Callithrix jacchus: one gene and its partners. The protein of the gene in region 1 interacts with the protein of each later gene in a pairwise test. Links are inferred from orthologs where the notes say so. Each region holds a gene or a part of one and is shown on either strand. Other genes may lie near its edges.

Region 1 (4,048 bases):
AATTAGCTGGGCATGGTGGCGTGTGCCTGTAATCCCAGCTACTCAGGAGGCTGAGGCAGAATTGCCTGAACCCAGGAGGCGGAGGTTGCGGTGAGCCGAGATTGCGCCATTGCACTCCAGCCTGGTAACAAGAGCGGGGAAAAAAAAAAAAAAGAGAGAAATGGAGTCTCACTCTGTCACCCAGGCTGGAGTGTAGTGGCACAATCTCTGCTCACTGCAACCTCCATCTCCCAGGTTCGAGCCATTCCCCTGCCTCAGCCTCCCAAGTAGCTGGGATTACAGACACCCACCACCACACCTGGCTAATTTTTCATTTTCAGTAGAGACAGGATTTCACTATGTTGGCTAGGCTGGTCTTGAACTCCTGACCTCAAGTGATCCACCCTCCTGGGCTTCCCAAAATGCTGGGATTACAGGCATAAACCACCACACCCGGCTGAGAAACATTATTTTTAAACGCTAATTTCAAAGGAAGATCTCAAGCATAATAGTTAAAAACAAAGATAATTCAAAACAGACAGACCCAAAAAATGTATCAAAATTTGGCCGGGTGCAGTGGCTCACACTATAGTCCCAGCACTTTGGGAGGCCAAGGTGGGTGGATCAGGAGGTCAGGAGTTTGAGATCAGCCTGACCAACATGGTGAAACCCCATCTCTACCAAAAATACAAAAATTACCGGGTGTGATAACACGGGCCTGTAATTCCAGCCACTCAGGAGGCTGAGGCAGAAGAATCCCTTGAACCCAGGAGGCGGTGGTTGCAGTGAGCCAAGATCGCACCACTGCACTCCAGTCCTGGCTACAAAGTGAGACTGTCTCAAAAAATATATTAAGTATCAAAATGTTTAGTGTAAACTTTACAGCTTTTCTTTGAACCATTTAGGTCCTTTTAAAAGATGATTCCTTGCCATGCTTAAATCTGTGGGTTCCACTGACTTGCATCCTCAGAGGAGAAAAGTGCCCAAGTAGCAAACTGCGGCTGAATTCAAAGATGCTGTTCTCCCACATCTTCATTCTACAGCACTTAACAGTTTCTGGAAGACAGCACCCAGAATAATTGACAGGATTTGTAATGCTTCAGCATTACCAAAAAAAAAAAAAAAAAAAACAAAAAACTATGCACACATACTTCCAGCATATGAACAATTTTAACTCACCAGTCACCATGTTGCATGTATTTCTGTTGCTTGTCCTGAGTTCTTAAGACTTCTAATATTCTGAAGAAGATAGAACAAAAAAGTTCCTTCCATCCTCAGCCTCTTTTTATTAATAATTTTAACTTTGTTCTTAAAAAAAATACAGTACATTAGAAAGAACTACCCCACCATTATCAAATTTGATTGCTAAGTTTACTTCCTCTTAGCTTCCTTTTCCTTAAGCTTAATGGAGCAAGACTGTAAATCATAAACTAGCAGATGTTTTGTATTAGAAAAAAAAAAGTGCATAATTCTCTAGGACAAACCTAGAACTTCCTTGACACCAAAACACAGTGGTGGGGTGAAAAAAAAAAGAGCTGAAAAGGATTGAAATCCTAAACAAAAAGTGACTTTTACAGCGATACACAGTCAGATTTTAGAAATTTCTGCTGGAGAGTTCTAGAATTTCAAAAAAGGTAAAGCATTGATTCTCAGGTTGTTCAATTTTGTTCAAGGTAACTTTTTGGCTGAGGCAATGGTGGGCCCTTAGGATAACAGACTAAAGTAAGCCCCTCCCACCTACGGAAAAGAAAAGACTGCGTTTAAGGATTTAAAGTGGCATTTTAGAGAGTTCACAACGTCCACATAAGAGAATTCCCTTCCGGAGCGCAGAGGTGACGTGTAAGAACTGCGCTTCTGGACGTATTAGTTTCTAATGAAAGATATGCAGGTACCTGCCCGGCACAAAGCCCAGTACAAGGTGAGGAAACCCGAAGGGGCTCCTTGCCCTCTCAAGCCAACAGGGCTTGGTTTCTGAAGCAGAGAAGCACCCTACCCAAGCACCCACCCCGCACTTGGGCCTCAAGTAACAGCATTATTAGAGGAGAACAGGCGATCTCGCCCCCTTCACGGAAGAGCGGAGCCGCAAGCCAGATAGCAAAGCTAGTTTGTTTCTCTCCAGGCCTAGGCCACGGATGCCCGAAAACGTCACCAGACCAGAAAAGACCCAATCCTCAACCTTCCCCACGCAACGCGCCGCGGCCAGCCCTCCGCTCAGCAGAGGCCTCCTGCGCGCTCTCGAGGCAGCACCGCCACCCAACATCAGGGCGCGCGCACCAAACGGGGGGTCGTGGCGGGCGCGCGCCCTGGAAAGCCTGTCTTGCCCGCGGGCCAAAGCTCAGAGAGCAGAGATATCCGGGCGGGGAACGCGCACGTCGGCGGCCACGCGCACCGAGAGAGCCGCACAGCGCGCGCGCTCCCGCGCGTAAAAACAGGTTTAGACGCGCGCCCGCACCAGCGCGCGATGTCGCGCCGCGCCCACCCAAATCCCCGGCCCACCCCTCCCCCATTCGCAGGGCGGGGTACGCGAGCCCAGGGACGTTTTCAGCTCCGGAGCCGCCCCGAGCTCTCAAGGCCCAGCGGTAGCGGCCCGCCCGCCCCCGCCCGCCGTTGTGTGGGGTGGGCCCGCCGTCCCAGGCCCACAGCCTCGCCGCATCCTCGCCCACACTGGAGCCCTCACCCGGCGACGTCACCGCCGCCGCCGCCTCCGCTCTACCCGCTGGCCCCGCCGCACCGCCCGGGACCCCGGTTCTGCCGTCGTAGCTCCAAGACCGACAGGGTTTTCTCCTCACAGCTCCCTGGGCGCCATCTTACATTCAACCCTCACAGCCAATGGGAGCTGATTGTCCCTCTCGCGAGACTCGGGGCTTCGGATCCCGCGAGATCTGGAGCTGCCTCCCGGCCAGACTTAAAGTGAACGCTTCAGCAGGGGGAGACAGGCCGCGCCTCTGGCGGCTAGAGCGGATCTGAATCCCAGGGCGTGGAGCGACTCGCCCCGCCTCTGGACGCCCCACCGTTTGGGGCGGAGCTAGGGCGGGGGCTTAGCATGGTAGTGGAGCCTCCGAAGGCTAGGACTCGAAGCTGGCTCCTTGGACCCACCTTCTGTCGCCCGCCTGAGCCTCCTTTGGTCGAGCACCCCTACGCGGGGCGGGGCCCGGCCGGGCTCAGCCTCTCGCTTAAGGTGGACCCCGCAAACTTTTGTCCTGGGCTCGGCGTCCCCTGCCGTACCCCGCCTGGGAAGCCTCTAGAGCTCTTACCTTCTGAAGGACTCACCCTCTGGGACTCCTGCCAACTGCTGCCGTCTGAGTTCAGCCTTCCGCAGTCTGGGCCACCTTAAAGCGGGCCCCCTGGTAGCCTGGTGTTTGTATACAGGGAAAATGTGGAAGGCGTTAAAGCTGCAGGCACACGCAGGCCTCAGCAGCAGCCCACACAGCCCCCAGAGGGCTTCCAGCCTGCTGTAGACTCCTTTTGCCTCGGGGTTTTTGCCCTTTTTCCTCTTATCCTGGCCAACTCCCCATGGTCTTTTGTGATTCCCTTCAGAAGTCACTTCGTGAGAGTAGTCTTTTCCAGCCTTGGACAGGGCCCAGGGAGAGCTCTCCCATGCAGTGTTTGGTCACCCCTTTCTCCTCCAGTTAACTTGGAAGGCTATCACAGCATGTGTGCCACATCTCACTGTGCCTGGCATGTAGTAGGCACTAAAAAATTATATGCTGAATGGGCCGGGCGCGATGGCTGACGCCCGTAATTCCAACACTTTGGGAGCAAAGGCGGGTGGAACACCTGCGGTCAGGAGTTCGAGACCAGCCTGGCCAACGTGGTGAATGAAACTCCGTCTCTATTGAAAATACAATATTAGCTGAGTGTGGTTGTGCATGCCTGTGATCCCAGCTACTTGGGAGGCTGAGGCAGGAGAATCGCTTGAACCTGGGAGGTGGAGACTGCAGTGAGGCAAGATCGCGCCATTGCACTCCATCCTGGGCAACAAGGGCGAAACTGTCTCAAAAAAAAAAAAAATGCTGATTAGGTGCAGTGGCTTACCCCTGTAATCCTAGCACTTTGGGAGGCTGAGTGG
Region 2 (3,517 bases), on another chromosome or scaffold:
CTCTAGGGTTGGGGACAAAACAAGGATGGGCCAGTACTGGCATCTCAGGTACAGGTGACTTCCTGGCTGTCCTGGGGAAGCTCGTTGTTGAAACTGCTCTCTCCAAATGTTGAGTAAGGAGGGACCTGGGGAGCTTCGATGATCAGTAGACCCTCTGGGGAAAGTGAGGCAAATACTGTCACAGGATCCACCTCTGCAGGAAGCCTAGGAGAAACATGATTTTGTTCATTTATTACTGTTAATACAGCTTAAACATTATTTTATTCACTTGAAGGGAAATATTTTTGATAAAAGCTTAGCCTTTGGGGACATAAAATGCTGGGTTTGAATCCTGGCTCTACCCCTTTCTAGCTGTGTGGTCTTGGGAAGATCACTCAATTGCTCTGAGCTTGTTTCCTTGTCTGCAAAATTAGGATAATAATATTGAACTTGTAGAGTATTTGAACTTCAGAGTCACTGAGTATGCTTTGCAAATGGTAAAATGCTGTTTAAACAGTAGATCTTAACTTAAAAGAAAGCTGTGGCCCACATGTTTGGTCCCAGGTTGAAGTCTTCACGTTAATACCAACTACCAACCACAATTACTAGCAGAAATGGCATCACTACGACCCCTTTATAGACTGCAAGTAAGGTGTTATGCATAGCAGGCAATGCATTTTCATTTGACATGTGCTTGCTAGAAAGTGCTTCCCCACAGAATACATCAGTGGTGACGCAGGCACTAGGCACCTTGGCAGACAAAAGTGGCCAGGCTGGCTGCTTGTAGATTTTAGATGGCAACATACTCTATGGTATTAAAAACAAGCCTTGATTTTGGTCATGCCCTAAGTATCTCTGATATGGTTCAGCTGTGTCCCCACCCAGATATCATCTTAAATTGTAGCTCCCATCATTCTCCTGTGTTGTGGGAGGGATCCAATGAATTGAATTATGGGGTGGGGGCGTTTCCCCCATACTGTTCTCATGGTAGTGAATAAGTCTCACGAGATCTGATGGTTTTATAAGGGGAAACCCCTTTTGCTTGATTCTCATTTTCTCTCTTGTCTGCTGCCATGTAAGACATGCCTTTCACCTTCTGCCATGATTGTGAGGCCTCTCAGCCACATGAAACTGTGAGTCCATTAAACTTCTTTTTCTTTATAAATTACCCAGTCTCAGGTATGTCTTTATCAGCAGTGTGAAAATGAACTAATACAATCTCTTAGCAGATCATAATTATCTTGTTTTTAAAACTAAATTATAGATGACACCTAGTTGGAGTATTATAAGAGGGTGATTAAGAGGTAATAATTAATATGCCCATGCTGCAGATCACTAAACAGTCTGGGGGGAAATCAAATGACAAGCTCCACGGTGAGAAAGCATCAAAGATGGGATTTCCAAATCCAAATCTGGTCCAAGTTCTAATAAGGTATTTTTATGTTTCTTGGATTTCTTGGAGTGAATGAGACTATCAATAATTTGGTTTCTTCAACAAACTGTTAAAACTGTGAGGACATATTAGTGGTCTCATGAGGTTCCTTTTTTTTTTTTTAAATCATGAAATCCATGACCTGCTTTTCCATGTGCCAGCTATTTTGGCTGAATCATATCATTTTGGTGTTAAGAATAATCCCACCAGGAAGATTCCATTGCTATCCCCATTTCACAGACAAAGAAATTGAGGCTCAGAGAGGTGAACTAATTTGCCCAAGGTCACTCAGCTGGCAAATGGCAAATAGGAAATGGAATTGGAATCCTGGTCTCCAAACTCAGAGTATCTGACCGTGATGTTCTCCTGCCTCTCCCAGTTACCAGCCATTTGAAAAAAGGACTATGGCAGGAAGGCTCGGAAGTTCAATCAAAGCTTTTCACTGGTCCATGCTGATTCTGCATATTGTAAATACAACGGTCTTGATGAAAGAACCAAGGCATGAGGTAAGCCCATACCTGATCATGGGCAGGAGTACTTTCTGTAGGAGCTGGGGAGTTTTCCTTCCTTCCCTCCTTCCTTCCTTCCTTCCTTCCTTCCTTCCTTCCTTCCTTCCTTCCTTCCTTCCTTCCTTCCTTCCCTCCCTCCCTCCCTCCCTCCCTCCCTCCCTCCCTCCCTCCCTCCCTCCCTCCCTCCCTCCTTCCTTCTTTCCTTCCTTCCTTTTTTGTCTTTCTTTTCTTTTTTTCTTTCTCTCTTTATTTTCTTCCTCTTTCTCCTTCCTTCCCTCCCTCCCTCCCTTTCTTTCTGTTTCTTTCTTTCTTTCTCTCTCTCTCTATCTGTCTCTCTTTCTCCTTCCTTCCCTCTCTCCCTACCTTCCTTCCTTTCCTTTTTTTTTTTTTTTTTTCTGTGTACAGCAACCTGTAGCCACATGAGCTGTATCTACTCAGGAGATTCCTTGCCAAGTTGGAACCTTGGAGATGAACAACGGTGCTTCTGGGAAGCACATTTGGAAGAGAAAGAGGGAACTAGGAAGCTGCCAAGTCAAGATTTTGAAGCAGAGACAAGGTCAAAAGTTTAGATCTCCCTCCCAATGCCGGGAATGGGCTGACTGTTTAACCATGTGCACGCCAACCCAATGCACACCAGGTCACAAAACATGCTCTACACTGTCACACTGTACCTGGCCCAGAGCATGTGTTTTGCAGGCAGGCCAACCTGCATTCAAATTCTGACCCTTCCTGACTACACAACATGGGGCTGGTGATCTTGCCTCTCTGAAACTATTTCTTCGCAGAAAAAGGGGGGCAATAATAGTATCTACGTCTGAGTGGTGTGGGAATTATGGTGCAATCTTTGGCCTTACATGTTGGCATCTTGATAGCAAGATGCAGTTTCATACAAATTGCAGTGTCATTGAACCAGAGTATCAGGGCCCCAACGGATCTCCCTGATTGCCCACGACAATGCTCTCATATTACATATGGGGAAACTGAGGCTCAGAGAAACAGACATGTCCAAGGTCTCTCACCAGGTGACTTGTATGTTAAACCCACCTGGTGGAAAAGCAATTCCTCCTCAATTCTCTTTCAGTGCTCCTCCTTACATCTGAAGGAATGTCTTAGCCAAGTACTAATATGCCTTTAACGCCTTCAGCCTCTATCACTTGCTACCTTCCCCTTTTAATAATGAAAGAGCTGAGGCCCTTAGGCAGGCAACATTATCTGGTTAGAATTCAACCACATTTTGCTTTCACTGGATTTATTTCATGATTGCCTTCCTCAGTGAACATTTTAGTGATGAGAATTTAACTTTATCAAAAATGAGTTGATTTAAAAGAAAAAAAAAACCTTCGGTAAATCATGATACAGCAATGGAAGCATATGAAGCAAAAAATAGTGAAGACAGTATGTGAATGACAGTATTGCAAATGACTGTAATTTGGTTTCCCCTAACCAAATAGGAAGGTCATGGACTTTGAAAGTTGAGAGACCTGTGTTCAGGTCCCAATCTGCTCTTTTTTTTTTTTTTTTTAACAGCTTTATTGAGATATCATTGGGATATAAAATTGTATATATGTATATATGTGGTATACAAGTTGATGTGTTG
Region 3 (3,517 bases), on another chromosome or scaffold:
CAGAACGGTAAATGAGAAAGTAAGGTCAAAAGACAAGACTTAGAACTACTACTAATGGTGCTAAAGACCCTAAGTCAGAGCTTTCAGAGGTTCATATTCTTTCTCTCCTCTAGAAACCTTGAAATTCAGAGTCCTACTCACCTGCGTAGTGATAAATATTGGTTGTGAAGCCACAGGGGAACTAGTCACATGATTGGCATTCTGCATGACCTGAACAGGTCTCAATACTGGTTGAGTAACCATTGTGCCCAGACCTGGGGCTGGATTCTGGGTCAGGATGAGCGGCTGTCCACCTTGCTGGACCAGAGGGTTGCCAGCTAAAAGGTTAAGCGGGGGGAAAAAAAAGGAACGTTAAAAACAATGAATGTTAAACCTACATTTTATTTTATTTATTTGAGACAGGATATCGCTCTGTCACCCAGGCTGGAGTGCAGTGGCACAGTCATGGGTCCCTGCAGCCTCAACTTCCTGGGCTTGAGCCATATTTCCACCTCAGCCTCCCAAGTACAAATCCACATTTTGTAAGAAACAGAAATGATGTCCCAGACGCCAAAATATCCAAGACTGACACTCACCATGTTTAATGTGACCAAACTCGCCAAAAATTTAAGCTTCACCCAAATCTACAACTAACAGAAAAACAGATGGGTAGGGGAGGTTCACTAACATTTCACCCATATGTCTTAACTGGGGATGAAAGACACATTAGAATTCTATGTGACTATCACCTTGACTCTCATGATTTAAGGTGACCACACATAATCTCCCCCACCAAATCAGCACAGAACAAAATATGTTAAGTCTTTTTCCATATTTTAACTAGGTAAAACCTATTTTATTAGAATATAATTTGTTAGCTAATCCCCCTTAATTCTTTAAAAACAATATTCATCAACAAACATTAATTCAGCAAGTACACAGAATCTGAAGAATGGTTTCTCTTCCTAGTAAGTTAAATCTGAGAAATGCAAGATTCTTTAAGCAACCACTGTCTTTTAGAAGGGGACCCAGAGACTGACAGGCTACCTACCACCTTTCTCTGCATGTCATCAGGGCTGATAAACAGAAGACCCAGACAAAAACTAACCCACACCAAGTAAAAATGACATGATTTCAGAAGATAATCATTCATTCATGAATAAAAATATGAATAAACAGGGCTATTACTGAAATATCTTCAACTCTTCATTTGTGAGAAAATAATTTCATAAATATTTTTAAGTCCCCTATTTCATGACATTTGGTGAAAACAAAAATCAACACTAAGTTTCCTGATATACAAAGAATACTCAAAACCAGATAGAGAATTTCAGAGAGCCAATATACCTAGGCGAAAGAGTCAAGCAGGCTAGGCACAGTGGCTCACACCTGTAATCCCAGCATTTGGGAGAGTGAGGCAGGTGAATCACTTGGGGCCAGGAGTTCAAGACCAGCCTGGCCAACATGACAAAACCCCGTCTCTGCTAAAAATACAAAAATTAGCTGAGCATGATGGTGCATACCTGTAATTCCAGCTACTTGGGAAGTTGAGGCAGAATTGCTTGAACCAGGGAGGTGGAGGTTGCAGTGAGCCAAGATTGTGCCACTGCACTCCAGCCCGGGAAACAGAGCAAGACTCTGTCTCAAAAAACAAAAAACCAAAGAGTTAAGCAAAATATTGTCTCAACTTTTTACCCAAAATCACCAGAATAGGACAGGCCCCTCTGAAATGTACATTCCACTTGGCAGGTCCATCACCACAGTTAACTACAAAGCTACACCACCAAAGGAATAGGTATGTAGGTGGCTACTAATGGGCCAGCAGTGGCTCATCTCACACTCTCTCAGAAACTGAGAGCTCATCAGTAGACTAGACCCTCAGTTACTGAGCCAGAAGACTAGTGATTGTAGAGGCAGCTAGACAAATAAAACAGAGAATTCCAGCAAGTTCTATCCATGTTAAATTATACTGGCAATGTATTGATGGTGGGTTTTTAAAATCTTTTAAATGCTTTATTATGGAGAAGTTAAAACATACAAAGAAACAGAACACTACGGTGAACCCCTCCCTATACACCACCCTGCTTCGTTAATTATTAACGCACGGCAAGTCTTAGTTCATCTATACCTCCTATACATGTACTAGTTCCCATATTACTTTAAAACGAGTTCTAGATCATATCATCTACAAATATTTCAAAATGTACCTCCTACATAAGGATTTCAAAAAAAGATAAAGAATCATACCAACATAACTCCCGAACATTTAATATCAAATACCCAGTCAAAATTCAAATTTACTTATTTGCATTTTTTAAAGCGTTTGTCTGAATCCAGTTACAAAATGTTGGCAAAGTGCAATGGATGAACAACACTCAAGTCTTTTAATCCACAGGTTCCCCAACCATCTCTTTCTATCCTTTTGAAATTTATAGTTGAAAAACATTGACTAAGCAGAAGTCTGGATTTTCTAGTCATTGTTTTAACTGCTAGGACAAAAGAAAATAAATTATCTCGTTTATCCTAATCCTAAAAAACATTTAGATAATTCCCGGCTATCATATCCAGTTTGGGAAGATAAAAAAAAAAAAGATAATTCCTGGCTCAACATCCCAATTAAATACAAGAAGGGAAAGATGGAGGTTTTTTGCATTTATGTGAAATCAATCAGCATTCCCAAGTCTCTTACAGACAGACCAGGTTTCCATGAAACCCATAAATACCATTATAAAAAATGTTAACAGCATTTTCTCCAAATATTTTCCCTTATATCAGGGTCAAGTCTAAATTCTGGTGGAATGTTAGAATTTTTCCAAAAATATGGGACAAAGAAAATAGTGGTTTTCAAAGACCAGATTAGATTCACGATTCAATGGAAAGCAAAAGCCAGACTATGGAAAGTCACACTGGGTAAATTATACCTGCTTATTTAGAAGCATTTTAAATAATTTCTGCAATCTTTTAAACCTTAGCTCAAAGGAATTCTGACAATTCAAGTGTCTTACAAGGTTCTCTTTCCAGAGGATGAAAAGGCAATTAGAATTCTGGTACTTTAAAAAAAAGCCTTTAAAAGGATTATCCAGCCTGGAGCAGTGGTAGGCACCAGTAGTCCCAGCTATTCAAGAGGCTGAAGCAGGAGGATCACTTGGGCCCAGGAGTTTGAGTCCAACCTGGGCAACACAGTGAGACCCCAACACAAAAACAAAACAAGGCTCACGTCTATAATATCAGCACTTTGGGAGGCTGAGGCAGGCGGATCACTTGAGGTTGAAACCAGCCTGGCCAACATGGTGAAAGCTCACCTCCACTAAAAATACAAAAGTTAGCTGGGCATGGTGGCACATGCCTGTAACCCCAGCTATTTGGGTGACTGAGGCACAACAATCATTCAAATCCAGGCAGCGGAGGCTGCAGTGAGCCAAGATCCTGCTACTGCACTCCAGCCTGGGCAGCAGTGTGAGAAAGACTCAAAATAAAAAACAAAAAACAGCCAGGTGTGGTGATGTGTGCCTGTAGTTCCAGCTACTTGGGGGCCTGA

What was found.
Region 2: the proteins of QRICH1 (region 1) and HSPB8 interact in binary tests that used the Homo sapiens proteins (3 or more experiments, as listed by UniProt). The two-hybrid records come from large-scale screens. The link is inferred for Callithrix jacchus from reciprocal best matches to the Homo sapiens genes QRICH1 and HSPB8.
Region 3: the proteins of QRICH1 (region 1) and POGZ interact in binary tests that used the Homo sapiens proteins (3 or more experiments, as listed by UniProt). The two-hybrid records come from large-scale screens. The link is inferred for Callithrix jacchus from reciprocal best matches to the Homo sapiens genes QRICH1 and POGZ.

The regions. Positions count from the first base shown.
Region 1 is NC_133516.1:31,711,824-31,715,871, forward strand, and holds the start of QRICH1 (transcriptional regulator QRICH1), read right to left. Parts: upstream 2,811-4,048; 5' UTR 2,657-2,810; intron 1,888-2,656; exon of another isoform or gene 1,327-1,887; intron 1,219-1,326; 5' UTR 1,159-1,218; intron 1,036-1,158; exon of another isoform or gene 938-1,035; intron 1-937. UniProt on the Homo sapiens protein: Transcriptional regulator that acts as a mediator of the integrated stress response (ISR) through transcriptional control of protein homeostasis under conditions of ER stress.
Region 2 is NC_133510.1:122,299,918-122,303,434, reverse strand, and holds part of HSPB8 (heat shock protein beta-8), read right to left. Parts: intron 205-3,517; coding exon 45-204; 3' UTR 1-44. UniProt on the Homo sapiens protein: Involved in the chaperone-assisted selective autophagy (CASA), a crucial process for protein quality control, particularly in mechanical strained cells and tissues such as muscle. Displays temperature-dependent chaperone activity.
Region 3 is NC_133519.1:11,337,125-11,340,641, forward strand, and holds part of POGZ (pogo transposable element with ZNF domain), read right to left. Parts: intron 318-3,517; coding exon 142-317; intron 1-141. UniProt on the Homo sapiens protein: Plays a role in mitotic cell cycle progression and is involved in kinetochore assembly and mitotic sister chromatid cohesion.